Schizosaccharomyces pombe: one gene and its partners. The gene in region 1 interacts genetically with each later gene. Each region holds a gene or a part of one and is shown on either strand. Other genes may lie near its edges.

Evidence for each region. A genetic interaction does not mean that the proteins touch.
Region 2: mutations in pit1 (region 1) and bun62 together harm fitness more than expected from each alone (negative genetic interaction), as found in Schizosaccharomyces pombe (one large-scale study listed by BioGRID).
Region 3: mutations in pit1 (region 1) and SPOM_SPAP27G11.11C together harm fitness more than expected from each alone (negative genetic interaction), as found in Schizosaccharomyces pombe (one large-scale study listed by BioGRID).

What each region holds. Positions count from the first base shown.
Region 1 is NC_003424.3:2,070,848-2,080,313, reverse strand, and holds pit1 (serine/threonine protein kinase Pit1), read left to right. Parts: upstream 1-3,380; 5' UTR 3,381-4,067; coding exon 4,068-6,020; 3' UTR 6,021-6,408; downstream 6,409-9,466. Other genes in the region: AAA family ATPase Elf1, read left to right, coding at 1-1,040; ate1 (arginine-tRNA--protein transferase), read left to right, coding at 1,584-1,700, 1,755-1,786, 1,828-1,893, 1,948-2,471, 2,518-2,588, 2,630-2,890, 2,930-3,034; mug191 (alpha-1,6-mannanase), read left to right, coding at 7,082-8,410; SPOM_SPAC3C7.04 (transcription factor), read right to left, coding at 9,199-9,466.
Region 2 is NC_003424.3:4,576,477-4,581,222, forward strand, and holds bun62 (WD repeat-containing protein), read left to right. Parts: upstream 1-1,833; 5' UTR 1,834-2,150; coding exon 2,151-3,782; 3' UTR 3,783-4,246; downstream 4,247-4,746. Other genes in the region: acetylase Sdg1, read right to left, coding at 1-459; pby1 (tubulin-tyrosine ligase), read left to right, coding at 4,348-4,746. UniProt on the Schizosaccharomyces pombe protein: Required for the ubp9 recruitment to septa and cell tips but also for its enzymatic activity at these specific locations.
Region 3 is NC_003424.3:1,630,400-1,633,022, reverse strand, and holds SPOM_SPAP27G11.11C (uncharacterized protein), read left to right. Parts: upstream 1-1,819; coding exon 1,820-1,842; exon of another isoform or gene 1,843-1,894; intron 1,895-1,924; coding exon 1,925-2,123; downstream 2,124-2,623. Other genes in the region: SPOM_SPAP27G11.12 (uncharacterized protein), read right to left, coding at 1-578, 629-661, 814-856, 936-955; SPOM_SPAP27G11.16 (uncharacterized protein), read right to left, coding at 1,426-1,740.

The sequences.
Region 1 (9,466 bases):
TTACCGTTGGGTTATCTTTATCTTCTCGTGTTGCCATTTTAGGTCCTAACGGTGCTGGTAAATCAACGCTTATTAAAGTTCTTATCGGTGAAGTAATCCCTCAAGAAGGAAAAGTTTTCAAGCATCCCAACTTGCGTGTGGGTTACGTTGCTCAGCATGCCTTTCATCACTTGGATCAACATCTGGAAAAAACGCCAAGTCAATATATTCAATGGCGTTATGCTGGAGGACAGGACCGCGAAGTTTCAGAGAAGGAATCTCGAAAACTTACCGAAGAAGACCGTGCTCAGCTTCAGCGTGATATTACGGTCAATGGCGAACGTAGAAGAGTGGAAGCTTTGATTGGCCGTCAAAAACTAAAAAAGTCATTTCAATATGAAATTAAATGGTTTGGGAAGCCTCATAAATACAATACGTGGGTGTCTCGAGAAATATTGCTTGAAAATGGGTTTCAAAAGTTTGTACAGGCTTTTGATGATATGGAATCTTCTCGCGAAGGTCTCGGTTTCCGTGAATTGATTCCCGAAGACATCAGGGCACATTTTGAGGATGTGGGCCTTCCTGGCGACATTGCTGATTACAGCCCCATTAGTAGTTTGTCTGGCGGTCAAAAGGTTAAAGTTGTTATTGCTGCGTGTCTCTGGAATAACCCCCAGCTTTTGGTTTTGGACGAACCTACAAACTTTTTGGACAGAGATGCATTAGGTGGTTTAGCTGTTGCTATTCGTGATTGGGAAGGTGGGGTCGTTATGATTTCACATAATGAAGAATTTGTTTCTGCGTTGTGTCCTGAACACTGGCATGTAGAAGCGGGTAAGGTTACCGGTAAGGGCAAGACCGCTGTTGACGATGGAAAGTTTGAAGATCTGTCGGAGAAAGATTTGAAAAAGATTGAGGCTAAAGCTACCAAAAAGAAGAAATTGACGAGAAATGAAATCAAGGCCAAAGAAAGACGTGCTAGAGAGAGAGAATTAGCATGGTTACAATCTCCCAAGGGCACCGAAAAACCCAAATCATTCTTCTCTGATGATGAAGAATAATTTCAGACTAATTTTTTAATTCGCTCTTTGGATTGACAAGTTGAGAGTTGTTTATCCTTTAATTTTCTTTAGACGGTGCTAGTTGTTGAAGTTGGTCTTTTACATATTTACGGTTTACTGATATACCTTTTAGACTTAATTTATATATATAGAACTTGGTGGATGGTATCGTGGATAATATTAATATTAGTCGCTTTTTATATGTTTTGTTTATCGTTAGTGCATGTTATAGTTGTATTAGACGTATACACTTTTGTCATTGACTCTTGTAAAAGGTGTCAAGAGAACTATGTATTTTTTGGGTTTTTTTCTAGATATTCGTATGAAAATGTGATAGACTTTTTAATATGATTAATCAGGAAATTTCTATAAACATGCACTCAACGAAAAATAGGGTACTTAATCTTCAAGAAATAATTGGTGTAGTCTTAGTTCACCTACTCAAAGAGCCTTCAAAATAAAGGCAAAAGAACTGAACTAAGAGTTTTACTACTGATGATATAGTTCATTTAATATTAAACAGGGAAATTTTCAAACAATAGTATGGTATTGGATAAACTGTTGTACACAGGGTACAACGTCAGTACTGAATGTGGTTATTGTAAAAGTGGAAGAAAGACCGAGCATTTTGGTTTATTAGCAGAAAAGCTCAGTTGTGAAGTAAGCGTATAACTCTGCTTTTTGCAAATTTTGCTAACCTACATTTAACCTCAGGACTACCAGCGATTGATTGATTTGGGATGGAGGTAAAAACCTTTATTAGTTAACATTGCTAATATAAAATAAGACGTTCAGGACATTATTTATATAAACCCAACGGGAAAACATCTTGCTGTTCTCTTTATACAATCAGGTACTTAGCATAAGTCGCCAAATATGATTGATTACTAACCGCCGAATGTTGAAGACTCGACAGCTATAATTTTAAAATTGCAAAAGAGCAAAAGAAGGCAATAAAAAAATGGGTCAAATATGTAAATGGAAAGCCATTAAAACCTATGAAAAGCGAAATTAGCACAGATTATTTGAACAATGCCTTTCAAACTATAGAATCGCTCGGAGCTGAAAAATACTCTGTAACTATGGAGCCTTGCACTTACACCGATGAGAAATTTGAAGTCTTCAAAAAGTATCAAATGCAAGTTCATTTAGAGAAAGAAGAGGAAATCACGAAAAAAGGATTTAGCAGGTTTCTTTGCAACTCTCCTTTATTTAATGAAGACAAGGGGATAAAGTATGGTTCTTATCATCAGATGTATCGATTTCAAGGAAGGCTTGTGGCAGTTGGAGTTTTAGACTTGCTACCACATGGTGTTTCTAGCGTTTATCTGTTTTATGATCCTGATATGTCTAAGTTTTCTCTGGGAAGGATTAGTGCCTGCCGTGAAATCTGGCTTGCTCTTGAATGCGGATATCGGTACTACTACATGGGTAGGCTAAAATGTCATTTATTTAATTACGTTGATTGACCTTGCAGGTTATTATATTCACACATGTCCCAAAATGAAGTATAAGGCAACGTATAGTCCATCGTACCTGCTTAATCCCGTACGTATACATTCGATTTTAACTTGAACTAATACAAACAGGGTACAAATAAATGGATACCAATTGAAAACTTTACTTCACTTTGGAATACTGGTGCTCCTAAATATATAAGTTTCGGGGATGAAAATAATAGTGATATTCAAACTGCTGTTGACTACGATTCTTCTGAAGATTCATCTCAAAACGAAGATGATTATACACTGTTTAATCGACAGCTTCCTGGAATTCTTTCAGTAAATGTTGCTGAGTCCTTGGTTTCGGAGAATTTTGCTAACATTGGCAATTCAACTTTCCCCACAAGAGTATGTCTTTATTTTTGAGTAACAATGCTAATTCTTCAGCATGTTTTAAGTTATTTCCCTCAGGTTAAACATTGGTTTGTTGAAATCAATGCTGCTGTGGGCGAAGAAGTCGCAAAGAGTTATACACTTGTTTTATCTAGTTGATATATTATCTGTCTACGTGTTTTATTTGCTTAAGATATGAACATCCTACTTAAAAATCTTAATGAACTCCAGGATGGCTTTGAGAGTAAATTTTACAATGTGACTTACAGAATTAAGTTAATTTTATGCTACTACTTATGTGTGATAGTTTCCTCTTTTATGTCCCTTAATCGAAGTTGATAGCATTTCTAATAATATAAAATACTGCCGGCTTATATATTTATTTTGTAATTATTTATAACTGCACGCTACCTAAAATGTCACCCTAACATAACTTAGTGGGCTTTTCCGTTACGAGTTGTTTGCAACCAAACACAAAAACGGGTTTACCGGTACTTCACGACTTAATATAATCGCAAAACAGTGCATAGTAGGTGAGAAAGGATTTTATCATTTAGAGAAGAGATTTTACTTTAATTGTTCTTCTTTTTTCTTTCTCAAGTGTTACTGCTAGGTTCTCATTCTATAGAGTATTAGCAAACACCAGATTTCGATGACATTTCGTGTCAAAATTGGGTTGACTGCATTTTAAAAATAATTAATCACGGTTGGCTTACAATTCAACTTCTAGGCACTGATTTTTTCTTCGAATGCCATTTTGAAGTTATTTTACTTTTACTTTCCTAAAACAAGGTGTTGTAATAAGGGATTGTTCTTTTATCTATTTTTGTACCATTTGTATAAAGAATTCATTAATTTGCACTGTGATTTTCTTAATACAGGCTTAAATCCATTTACCGCTTCCATTTTTTCTTTGAATAAGTTACACCATTTCTCAACGATAAATACTTGTATAGAGAGGTGTATTTACTTGTTCAATTTCATTCTTTATTGAAAATCACTGATTTTGATTTGATTTTTATTGCGTTTAAGCTGTATGCTACTTGGAAGCTGCTTCTCAAGTATAATATTGCCTTTGCAACAAAGTTTTTTTATATCTCTTTTTACAGGATTTCGCATGTTTTATCTTTTTTGTTGAGGTGCTTCACTGATTCTATTTTGTACCTAAACTCGATTTTTGTGCGGATATATTATGAAGAAGTATTTGTGGGGTACTCCAACTACGAATACCGTATTTACAGGCAAGCAACCAAAGTATACCAAGGAGGTTCGCAAATGCATTTCAATTGATGAAGTATATAATGTTGTGCGAAAGGTTGGAGATGGCACCTTCGGTTCAGTTTACCTTGCAACTACTAAAACTCCTTCTAAAGAAGTAGTAGCTATAAAAAGTATGAAGAAAAAGCTGGCTAAGGTTTCTGATGCTACCAGATTGCGCGAGGTACATTCTTTGTTGAGACTTTCCGAAAATGAAAATATAGTTAATATTTTCGATTTATATATAGATCAATTTCGATGTTTACATATTGTAATGGAGTTTCTCGATTGCAATTTGTACCAGCTAATAAGTACTAGAAAGAACGACCCTTTGACTCTTGAGCAAGTTCAAGATATTATGCGTCAAATATTCAAAGGCCTCAATCATATTCATACAAATGGTTTTTTCCACAGAGACATGAAACCAGAAAATATTTTAATTTCTTCAAATAGTGACTCTTCTTCTTTCAATGTTAAGATTGCAGATTTTGGTCTTGCTCGTGAAATTAATTCGCGGCCTCCATATACCGAATACGTATCCACTCGTTGGTATCGTGCACCTGAACTATTATTACGGGACTCTTATTATTCGTTTCCGGTCGACATATATGCTGCTGGATGCATGGCATTTGAAATTGCTACACTTCAACCAATTTTTCCTGGAAATGATGATTTCGACCAATTATATAAAATGTGTGAAATACTTGGAAGCCCTGATGAGCAATCTCAGAATACTGGAGATAAGGGAGGTGGTATCTGGGATCGAGCTGAACTATTAGCTAATAAGCTAGGTATTTCTCTACCCAAAATGGCTCCGCTCGACTTTGGAGACTTATTTTCCCCACCATGGAATTTAGCTTTTGCTTCAATGTTGTCCCAATTGTTAAAGTGGGATCCAGCCAAACGACCTACTGCAGAAATGTGCCTTGATTTAGAATTTTGTCGAGTTTCCGCACCGGCTGATGCAGTTGCCAGTAAAGAGGAAGTCAATAAAAACACTGATTTTCGTGTTTCAATATCATATTTCCCTTCGTCTAGTTCCATTCCAGATGAATGTAACACTGAGGAAGAATCTAGGATCAATCCTTCAACTTCAAAGTTTCTTAAACAGCTGAATAAAGGTTTCAATGGGTTTACTAAACCGTTTCGTAAGTCAAGAAAACAATCAAAGAACCGTAAAAATAAGTCTTCAGTGGCTACTCAGTTTTCTGAAGAGTCAGAAGATATTGCTGATAGTATCACCTCTTCAACATTTTTTCCCGTTTTACCCCAAATACGCCCATCTACTCCTTTGAATCTCAAGTTACGAAACTTCATTATTTCATCTTCTGAAGATTCTACTTCCCCCAAAGCGAAGGAATTTGACCGTCCTTTGCCTTCAACCGAATTTCTTGTTGCTATAAATAAAAGTCAAGAAGCTTTGTTGAATAACTCTCCTAACTCCAAGTCTGGTAGTACGCAACTTTCTGCTTCTACGTGTTTAAGTGATTTAATTTCCCCTCAGCTATCGATTCTATCTCACGAAGATAAGCGCGAAAATCAATCTGTAAACAGTGAATCCTCTAAATACAGTCCCCGGTCATCTAATCATTCACCGACACTTCACAGCAAAGATTTGCACCGTGATATGGCTACTGTGAACAATTATGCCAAGTCTCCACCTTCTTTCCATGCTACGCAGGACCTTCTTCGTAAAACATTAGCCTATACAAATTCAAGTGGTACATCAACAGTCTTATCTAATGACTCTTCAGCTATTTCCTCAACGTTTTTGGACAGAGATTTTCCAGATTTTGGTATCACATCGTTAGCTGGTAGTCTAACACTTCCCGACTCGAAAATTATCGATCGCTCTAAAACACACGTTTCGACACAATTGCTTCCCTAGCTCATAACACTTTTACTTTTGATTATTCCACTAATCTTTTCTTTTCCTTTTATTTCTCCATGTTTTGCCGACCTTTCTTTCTTTTTATTTCCCCTTAATTCCTTGGTCTCTTCCCTGAATTACGCTCTTTTGTCAACTACTTTATTTATTTCACTTCCAAATTTACTATTTTGAGAAGCAAATTTTACATGTTTTTTGTTTTAGCATCACCTTTTCTTTTCTTATTTTTTTTTCTTTTTCGTTTATTTTGTTTATCTTTCTTTCCGGAATTTTGTTCGCCTTAATTTAGCATTTTTTGTAGTCTAGGTAACGCTAAATGATGACATTACCTTACATATTTTTAAATACATGTATATAACTGCAATGATGAAAGCTGCTTTTGATTTTCTATTTAAGTGATAATCGTAAAATTGTAGTAGTTGTTTTTTACTTAATTTTTTATATTTGCAACACAGTAGCACAGAGATGCAATACCAAAGCTATTTGTAAGGGGAGAAAGAAAAGAATAAACACTCGATACTATGTTTATTTTTATGAATATAAAATGGTAGTTTTTACTTGAAGAAATAACTGCTAAATGTACTGTGTGCTTTTATCTCTTACATATACACATGTAAGCTAGTAAATATACAATTCGCTTGTTTGAGTAGGTTAATTTATATGACGCAATATTCCCGAGTAGCTGGATACCACGTCTCAGAGAAGCATTTCGTCAATAACCAAGAATTACCACATGTAATTATTGAGGAAACCGTGAGGCGTTTATCTTACTTTTTCCAATTACGAATTGCCCGAGATAACTTTTTATAAGAAAAGCGAGGTTTCATAATAACTACTTGCAAAGACCAAGCAAGCGTACGATTTCATGAATTTTAAGTAGTTGACAACTACTGCTTTTTGAGTTACATTTTCCCAGGAAGTTCATTATTAAATAACTGTTATTTCTTTTCTTTATATCAAGTTGTACATTTGGCAGATTTTTTTTGCCTTATTTAACGATTTCTCAGGAATATACTATTAACGAACAATTTTTGTAAACCAGGAATTATAAAAAGTTTACAATGAGTGAAAACGTTTACCTTAACGAAGCGCTGAATGTAGTAGATCAATGCTTTAAAACTTTTTTTGATAAGTACACTGATAGAATGGGTAGCGCCTTTGCCTGTTCAGGCACTATTGACAAAGATCATATCTTTCTTGTTTGGTCCGTGGCTGTATATGCAGAAGCAATGGCAGACAGTTTAAGATACACCAGCAAGTTTGAGCGGAAATTCGAACATGTGTTCCAAGCTTTGAAGAAATATTGGTCCCCCGTTTTTAATGCCTGTTGTGCTTTTCACTATTTTGAAGGAAATGACGACGTATATTATGATGACAATGCACAGGTAGCTATTGGCTTGGCTACGGCTGGCTATTATACTACAAACAGTTCACGTCGCGATCATTATGTTAGTCGAGCAGAAAGTATAATTTCGCTTATTATCAACAAAGGTTGGAATCAGCAACGTGGAGGTATTGCTTGGCATACCCGTACTACTGGTCCACCATGGACTAATCTAAATGCCTGCTCTACTTCTATGTCTGCAGTTGCTGCTTTGCGACTTGCTCTGGCGTTGGACGATCCTAACAAAAAGCAACATCTTGTTTCGTTTGCTTGGAATTGTGTTCGATGGATTCAGGAAAACTTGCTTGATGAAAATCATATTGTTTGTGACGGTCTTAGTTTGAAAGACGGAAAATGGGTCTTAGATAAGGCACGCTTTACTTATAACACTGGTACCACTATGACAGCCATGTCTTTATTGATGGGTCTAGGTGAATTCACTAAAGGATTGCAAGATATTGAAAAGCTTCCGACGTACTTAGAGGATATGGCTAGAGGTGCTTTGGACACCAATGGCCCATTGTATGATCAATCATGTAATGGAAGCTTTAAAGTATGGTCTGATAATACCTTTTTTGCTCAGCATCTTTCCGAAGGTTTAATGACATTTTCTTATGCAATGCCATCATCTGCGTTGGCAAAACCTGCTCAAAAAATGGTTTTAGATCAAGCCGACTTTCTCATGAAATATTTACGTATTCCAAAGGAAGGTCTATATTATCGCAACTTTGGTCTTTACAAGTTGAGTCCCGAATTGACAGCCTCGTTCAATAAGTTTTTCAATGCAAACAAGCAATTTCAACCAGATAAAGATGAACGCATTCAACAAGAAGGACCAGTGGAACAAAGACCTTTGTGTCCTACACTGATTGGAAGTGCTGGTGCTGCTAGAATGCTGTTTTCTGCTGCAGAAATTGTTAACCGAAATAACCCGAGTTCAGGTGAGTCGACAACTCTTCCTCAACCTAGCCATGGTAAAAAAGATAAAGATTGTGTGATCTCTTGAGCAACCGTTCAAATTGCTTATAATATTTTATCAGGTAAATTATTCCCCTTTAACGCGTCTTTTATTTATGTTGAATAAATGAATTTCAAATGAATTGCTTTAAAATTTTGCATAGTTATTAAGAATAAGCAGTATAACACGACTTTCTAATTAAAACCCTTGTTGTTTATATATTTTAATGAGAATTTATGTCTATAACAAACATCATTGCCACTTTTTTTTACCTAAATAAGCGAGTTTACATGATTAGTCTACTAATCTCTTTATACTTTTCACTGACGTTCTTGTTCAATAGAAGATAAAAAAAATCATTATCTATTTACTATAACTGTAACGTATTCCACGTTTAATTCAGCAAATAACCTGTGCTATGAAATCGAAGCCCATTAACAGAATTCGTTCTGATGACTGCAATGGTAACTTACAACATTTAAAAGCTTGTTTTGATATGATTGAAATATTAAAACTAATGGGAAGTGGAATCTGTAATATGTGCAATTCATTTCAGCCAGCAAAACGTATTAGCGCATACAGAAATCATGATTAAGCATAAAATAATAAAAAACAAATAGTTAGTATTATGAAATTTAAGTCCAACAGTTTTGAATGTTGCTTCTTTAGCAAAACAAACTTGACCAAATTTAACTTTTTTGTTCGATATTGAATAAAATCCGTGAGATCAAAAAATAAAGCCTTCTAGTAGAAAAAAAAAAAACCAAAAACTCGATATGCTCAGATGTTTTACAGATGTTGTCAATGAAAAGATAAATATGGAAACATCAAAAATGTTATGGACAAACGTAATCTAGCCAAGTAGGATGCATATTACCTAGCCAACTACCTTCGATATCCATGCCTTGATCGGTATTAGCCCAGTTTAACAAAGATGAATCGTTGGCAAGATCAGGCGTTGTCTTTATAGGATCCAAAGTGCTAGCAAACTTTTCTAGATCATCATCCAGTTTACTGTGGTCCAAAAGGAAAGATGTATCATCAGTTGGAAAGAACGAAACATCTGCACCTAAATTTGCATTGGGAGTCAAAGAATTACTATTT
Region 2 (4,746 bases), 2.5 Mb from region 1:
AGTCCAGTGGACAATAGTTGGTGTGTTTTGGTATGCACCAGGAGCATTTGCAGGCAAGATACCTATAATACCAATAACTCGTTCTTTGTCAATGCGGGCCATATAAAAATGTTTAAGATTCTCTTCAGCCAAGCAGCCGTCAGGTTGATTGTCTTCAGTGCTAATCTTTGCATACACATTTCTACAGGGAAATTCAATCAACGTCAAAAAGACAGCGCTAACCAATATTAATAAAACAAAAGTTCGTAATTTTGTATTTCCTTCTACCATGTTTGTTAAGCGATATATCCCCATAAACACCAAACCAAAAACCGCAAGATACAACGGGTGCCAAAAGATTTTTTGAGAGAGATTTCTCGATTGACCGTTCAACGCATTCATGGCAATCGATCGAATACTCGACAGCTCCGCAAGGGTGGGACGACGAATATCAATTCTTTTACGTTGCACATTCGACATTTTTATGTAATTAAATATTCTTTTTTGCTAATCTTTTTAAAATTTATTGTCACAATATTTCTTTTACAATTACCTTCTACTGTGAAATTTAAGAAGATGGAGGTTCGTAAGTGGAGTAGGTAAGAATGAAGCCATTATACCACCATAGATTTACCCAACCCTTGGTTGTTTCAGTCAATTTTTGCGAATTGTAATTTCATACAACTAGAATTTGATCAAATCTACCCTCTTATTAAATGATTGAGATTATTGATTCTATTGATAAATCACATTTAGGGTCAACTAGCTTTTAAAATGTTTTTAGGAATAGAAAAGAATATTGTGACGATCGAAGTAACATTTCTAGCTGAAATAACAATTGGATTTATAAGCTATATCTTCAGTTACTAAATAATTAGTTTCTACAATTTTTTTAGGCTTGAATATTAAATCTTTAAATAATTCCTAGGATAAAAAGAGTATAATGTATACATAGGAACAGAATATACATTTAAAAAAAATGGCAATTGAGTAGAGAAATAGGGAAGGTAATAATGCATCGATTAGATTGCATAACAAACTTTACATGAATCCGAAAACCAAGGATAGGAAATCCATTTACAGTATTTTTCACTATATAAATTAAAGCTTCATAGATTACACTACTTTCAGCGTGCCTATTTTGACCAAGAGTGAAAATATACTACACTCACAAAACGTATAAATGCTGAATTTTCACTTCTTGCAAGTTACAAATATTGCAAATTTCACCGTTTTCGAAATTCTTGTATAATAGGGCCTTACTAACTAGCTCATAACATTATAAAGCTATAACACAACGATAAGTTTTTTGAGTGATCAAAATTATTTTACACAGTTAATTTGCCAATGATTTGGTTATATTAAGAATTATAGATACTAAATAGTATTACACTTTACGAATAACTTAAAAACTATACTAAAGAAAGAAGTTCCATTGCATTATCCTTATTCTTAAATAGCTTTTGAATATAAAAAAGCAATGAAGAGTACCCAAGGGGACAGAAACGTAAATAATTCCTGACACGTAGTATATAGTGATGGTTAACGGGATACAATATAATCGTGCAAAGTGCTAATAAAGTTTTGTTTCAAAGCAATGCAGTATGTATCTGCTATATTTTAACGCAAGTTTAAAGAGTTCTTTATTTGAACTATTTAATGAGTTTTAAAAAATGTGATTGATCCAAATATTGCAAAGAATAGTGTATTGAAATATTTACCTCAAGCAGCTTCAATAAATGTTAAAATGAAACACATACCCTTTTATTAACGTAAATTGGGTTTGTTCTTTAATTAGCGTTATTTATGTCGCTTTCATATTATAAGTGACACGCTACTCCTTTAGAAGATTTCAACAAACTGTACGGTCGAGCTAGTCGGTTAAGAACATTTTACGATTTTGCAGGAAATTCAGTCTTCTGCATAAGTTTTAATTATAAATTAATTTGTTCGAATGCGATTTCGTATACTCCTATTTTAATTCTCATTGATTAATAAAAGAGAAAGCAGTAGCTTAAAAATCGCTCTTCTTACTAGATTCACTAATTTAAATACATTTCTTAATTGTCTTTTACGACTTCATTGAATAGAAACTTCTCAGTACTTGAGGTCGTTACCATTTGGATTGTTTCAGCAGAACTTTCACTTCTTATCCTTTACCTAACTATATTATGCAAACGATGTCTTCTGGAATTGCCCGTCCGGTTCTGTTTTTAACTGCTCGCGAGGGAGAATATGTTTTGAAGGATGAATTTCAATTAGGCAGTTCATCACGTTCTACTCCTCAAATTACCGGTTCACCTTTAGATCCAAACACGCCTGTAAAACGTCTGTTCTTTATGCGGATAAATATTGCTCAATTCTCCCGTTGGGATTACCCCTATCCACGAGAATATATTGAAGAACTTAAGAAAATTCATGGCGTTCATCATGTTGAAGAGAATAGAGATGTCCCCTCAATTCTTGAAAATTATCGCAATAGTAAACGAAAGTCCCACAACTTTTCTTCCTCTAACACTCCTTATTTGAAGCTTCACAGACCGGCCTCTCGTGCTGGTGCTCCTTTAATCAATGCTAAATCCTTTATCTCCTCCCTTACATTTCATGACAACATAGTACGTTCTTTTCAGCCTTCTATTCATGGTAAAACCTTTGTGTTTGCTAATCACGAAAAATCGTTTTATTGGCTTGATGTGAGTGCTGCTAATTCCCATTCTGCCTTACTCAAAATGGAATTTCCAAGGGCATCACCTGTTTGCCATGATATAAATTCCTTTACTAAAAGTCCCAAGGGCTTGGACGTAATAATTGGGTTTGATACAGGCGACGTACTTTGGTATGATCCTATTAATTTCAAGTATTTACGCTTTAACAAAAATGGACAGCTGAATAGCTCCTCTGTTACCGCTATAAAGTGGGTTGCTGGCAAAGATTCTCAATTTTTGGTATCTTTTCGCAATGGTTGGCTTGTGCTTTATGACAAATATCGTCACGAGCAACCACTCCATATTGTGGTACCGGAAAAAAACCTAAAATCTTTATATCTTAGTTCTCCAGGAACCTTTAATATTCTCATAAGTATTAATCACCGAGATGACCGTAAACTCAATCCGGTTGCTTGCTATGCATTTTCAAAATCACCGATTAACGGCTTTTGTTTCAGTCCCGATTATCAATACCTGGCACTCGTCTCTGAGAGAGGAACATTGAAGCTTTTTGATTTTGTGAAGGAACACGTCCTTGATGTTTTTCATAGTTACTTTGCTGGGTTAACCTGTGTCACCTGGTCTCCAGATGGTAAATTTATCGCTATAGGAGGTAAAGATGATCTGGTTTCAATATACTCCTTTCCTTTACGAAAGTTAGTAGCTCGCTGTCAAGGCCATAAATCTTGGGTCACCGATGTGATATTTGATGCTTGGAGATGTGATGATGATAATTATAGAATAGCTAGTGTAGGACTCGACAGAAAACTACTACTCTGGGATTTCAGTGTGAGCGCTATTCATAGACCCAAGTCTGCAGTTTATTATGTGAATCATCATTCTAATAATTCTAAACCAGCTATAAGTGATTTTGATGATGTCGGTGATTTAACAATGGGATCAGAAATTGACAATTCAAATTATGTGAACGGCGATATTACTATCCATCCTACATTATCTCGTTCTTTAATACCTGTTATATCACCTATTACCATTTACGATGTCGATGATAGTCCTCTCAGTTCCGTCTTCTTTGATCCTGACTGTATGATAACATGTGCTACAAACGGAAGAATTCGAACATGGCAACGTCCATAAACACACATTAGATGCCTTAAGTTTTTGGTTCATTGTTTTCTCAATATTATAGTACTTACTGTATAACTATGTTTTTTTTTCTTTTTTCAAATACTGACGTTTGGTTAACAGTGATTATAGCTCTTTTGCTACTAATCTTAAATCTGTATATTTAAATTTTAATTTGTGTTTTGAGTAACACTTTTCAATTTTTCAGTTGGTGTGCTAGCTCATGCTTTTTCCCTTACATATTCAAGTCTTCTCTTTGTTTTGCAAAAACAATTATTAAAGATATGCAAAGTTCATTAACAGACTGTAAGAGAAGAGTTATTCATTTCAGAGCCCAAACTATAAAGTATTAGTTATATTGTCAATAGATGTTATCGTTAAAGCCCTTCTTATTCCCAATATGACAAATCTTAATGAAGCTATCCAATTTTAATGTTATTTGTAATTTTTAGTATAGTATGTATTTATGATCTATTTTTTCTTTCACCCTACTAAAGAATTGCGCTTTTATATTTTTTAATATTCGTTGTATCCTCCTACCCCAACTCTAGAAAGTCCAAAGAAGGTAGTTTCGTACATGTCTTCTACTAAGAAAGACATAAAAGTTTATGTCAACTATCGTGACGAGTATGCAGAGCCAAAAATCATATCTGCGTTGAAGAATAGTGGAAAAGAGTTAACTTTTACAAATTCAGCGAAGGAAGCAAATTTTCAATGGGCACAGTACGAAGATATCGACTTTGACGAAGTTTACAAGAACCCAAAAACAAAACTTTGCTGCTCTTATGTGATTCGCAAGGCTTTAATCAGGAAAGAATACCTCTGGCGTACTGTCATAACGTACCTGGCAAAACATCCGGATTCAATATTGTCTAAATCGGTGCCTGAAGCCTATTCTTTGGAATTAGACTATGCAGAATTCCTTGATGATTCATTAATGGAAGCTTATGAACTTCGTCAAGAACTGGAGGAAAAT
Region 3 (2,623 bases), 440 kb from region 1:
CGCCTGTTAGCTATTGAAGCAACATAAGCACAACAACTGCTTCCATTGCCATCTGTTCGATATATTTCCTCGGAAAATAATGAAAGTAAGAGTCGGAGGACTTCGACACGGTGAAGTTCGTACGAGCGCTCTTTCAACATTGTGGGATGATAAACTACCCCAGTTTCCCAAATACAGTAGTGAACTCCATGGGTAAGATCATTATGAGCAGGGATGGTAAAATTGATTAGGAACAGATAATCTACAACGGTGTTTAAAAAGCTTGCTCCTCGGGGTGTATTGATGTTCGGATCCTTTGGAACTGTCCACGCAAAATAGTCAAACCATTCTAACATTGACTTATCCTCAAATATAATTGGCATAAGCCTTGTCAAAAGTCGCATACAATTTAACGCGCATTTTGTAGTGGGAGCGGCGGGGTCATCAAACAATGTTTCTTTTTGTAGATCTTCTAATTTGTCCCAGAGTACAGCAATAATAGTTTGCAAATTTTCTGGAGCGTTGTCTTTAACTTTTGTCAAATCATCGATAGACATCAAATGAAACACGTCTTCGGTTGTTTCTGGAAGCGTCCAAAGCTAAAGATTATTAGTTAGCAAAAATATTCACGAATAAAGATCACACTTACACGCTCCCATATAAGGTCAAATTTTGGAATGTTCTGAATTGGTTAGTACACTTGAAATTTTCAATTATTTATGATTATATTCAAATTGAATTCACATTCATTAGCAGAGAATCCTAAGAATTGAACTTCGTATTCTCTGGCATTCACTGAATTATGAAACCAACCAAAAGAAAAATATTACCTACCCTTTCTTCGTGTAGTCGTAAAACCGCGTTCCTAAAGTCTAACCTGTAATTTGGTTAATAATGTATTGGTTCTTCCCCAAACCTACGGCAGGTTGAGAAATTGGACAAAAAAATAAACATACTTAGACTGTTGAGAACCCATCGAATGTGAAGGTGAAAAGTATGCATACAATCAAAGTGACACAGAGAGTGAACTGAAAAAAAAAACGATGAAAAATCTATGATTGCGAAATTTGTAAAGAGGGGAAAATGGTTGAGAGAGGGAGGAAACCAGGAAACAAGGTGATTATCTTATAGCCCAACGAAAACAATCGTCGGTTTCAGCGAAAAAAAGTACGAAAATACTCTTGTGAAGGATTTGGCTGAAGCAAAAAAGTTCTTCAAATTCAGTTTGCAAAGCACTTTTTGATAAAACTCAAATGACTTATGGAAGAGAGAAATACTAGTTAAGTACTTTTGAATAACGTTCCAGCACTAGTTTTCCCCCTCTTTAGTTTTTATAAACTAAACTTTCAAGCAAAGATGCAGCATAGGAAAACTGTAGATATCCGACCTTGAATTTTGTGAGACTCGTAGGTAGAAAAGAGAAGCCTATTGTGTCGCCCAGCGGGCTTAAAGACTAGGAGACTCAGAGGATTTAAAATTAAAGGATAGAAAAGATATTGAAAATGTAGTACTCCAAATCTTTTCAAATTCGCACTTTGAAGCCGCGATGATAAAATCTCGCAAAATTCTTAACGTGGTCGAAAATGACGAAAAAGCGAATGAGAATAAACGAACTGCAATTAAAATCCTATTCGATTTTAATTTTTCAATACTATAACAAGGATTACACTCAAAAAACACACTGCTACTACGTTCAGTAAAATTGGTGTTGTTTTCATGTAAGATTGCACCTTGCTTAAAAAACCGAAGGCATGACCCCATGTAAGGACTTGCCCCAGGTAACGTAATATCGACTGAATGCTACACCAAATTTTAAGACGGTAAGAAGCATTATGAAAATATGACATGCAATCATGAAAACCCGTATATAACTCACCACGGCAAAGTGCATCTTATAACTTCATAGAATTCACAGTCAATGAAATTTCTCTAATTTTTCCTTTAGCCATTTTTTGTTTAAAATTGATTCATATTCCAAGACATTTTTGCTCAGCTGTTATTGTGTTTCCATTTACAGGCTCGAAGAATGCTCGGGAAGGTTTAAACCATCTTCGTATTCATTACATCTTTTGAAATCACTATCAATCATTATCTGTGAAAATCCTAGTCAAACCTTCAATATTGGATTAAATCAACCGAAATGATTTTTACTCCCATTAAAATATCCAATACATTCGAGACAAACATGGTGAAAATAAATCGCTCATCTAATTAATTGAGTATCGCTTAATGTATCAAGTTGCAACACCGATCAATTGTTATTTTCTTAGTTCATGTTGGCAAGGCGGAACTTCTCTGTTGATCGATTTACATTCCGACTTTCCGTACGTGCGTGTTGTGCTGCTATTACGGTAGTAACAACGAGACTCGGAGCGATCGCTAGTAGTACTAACAGTAATTTTTGAACAAATCAGATATGAAGCAAAAGCGGCGGTAATTTCACTGAAGGAGCCAGGTGTTCTTGAGTCCGTGACTCAGATTACAGATATAGTCTTAAGTTTATTAATTTGAGGTTTATCATCTTCCAATGGTGAACGCCCACATCCTTTCCTTCTTTTGTCCTGAGCCAGCTTAAGCTTAAATTAAGCTGTAAGTGAATTTTCCGTTGGCAAAAGTTACATACATCAATTTCAGCCACAGTGAA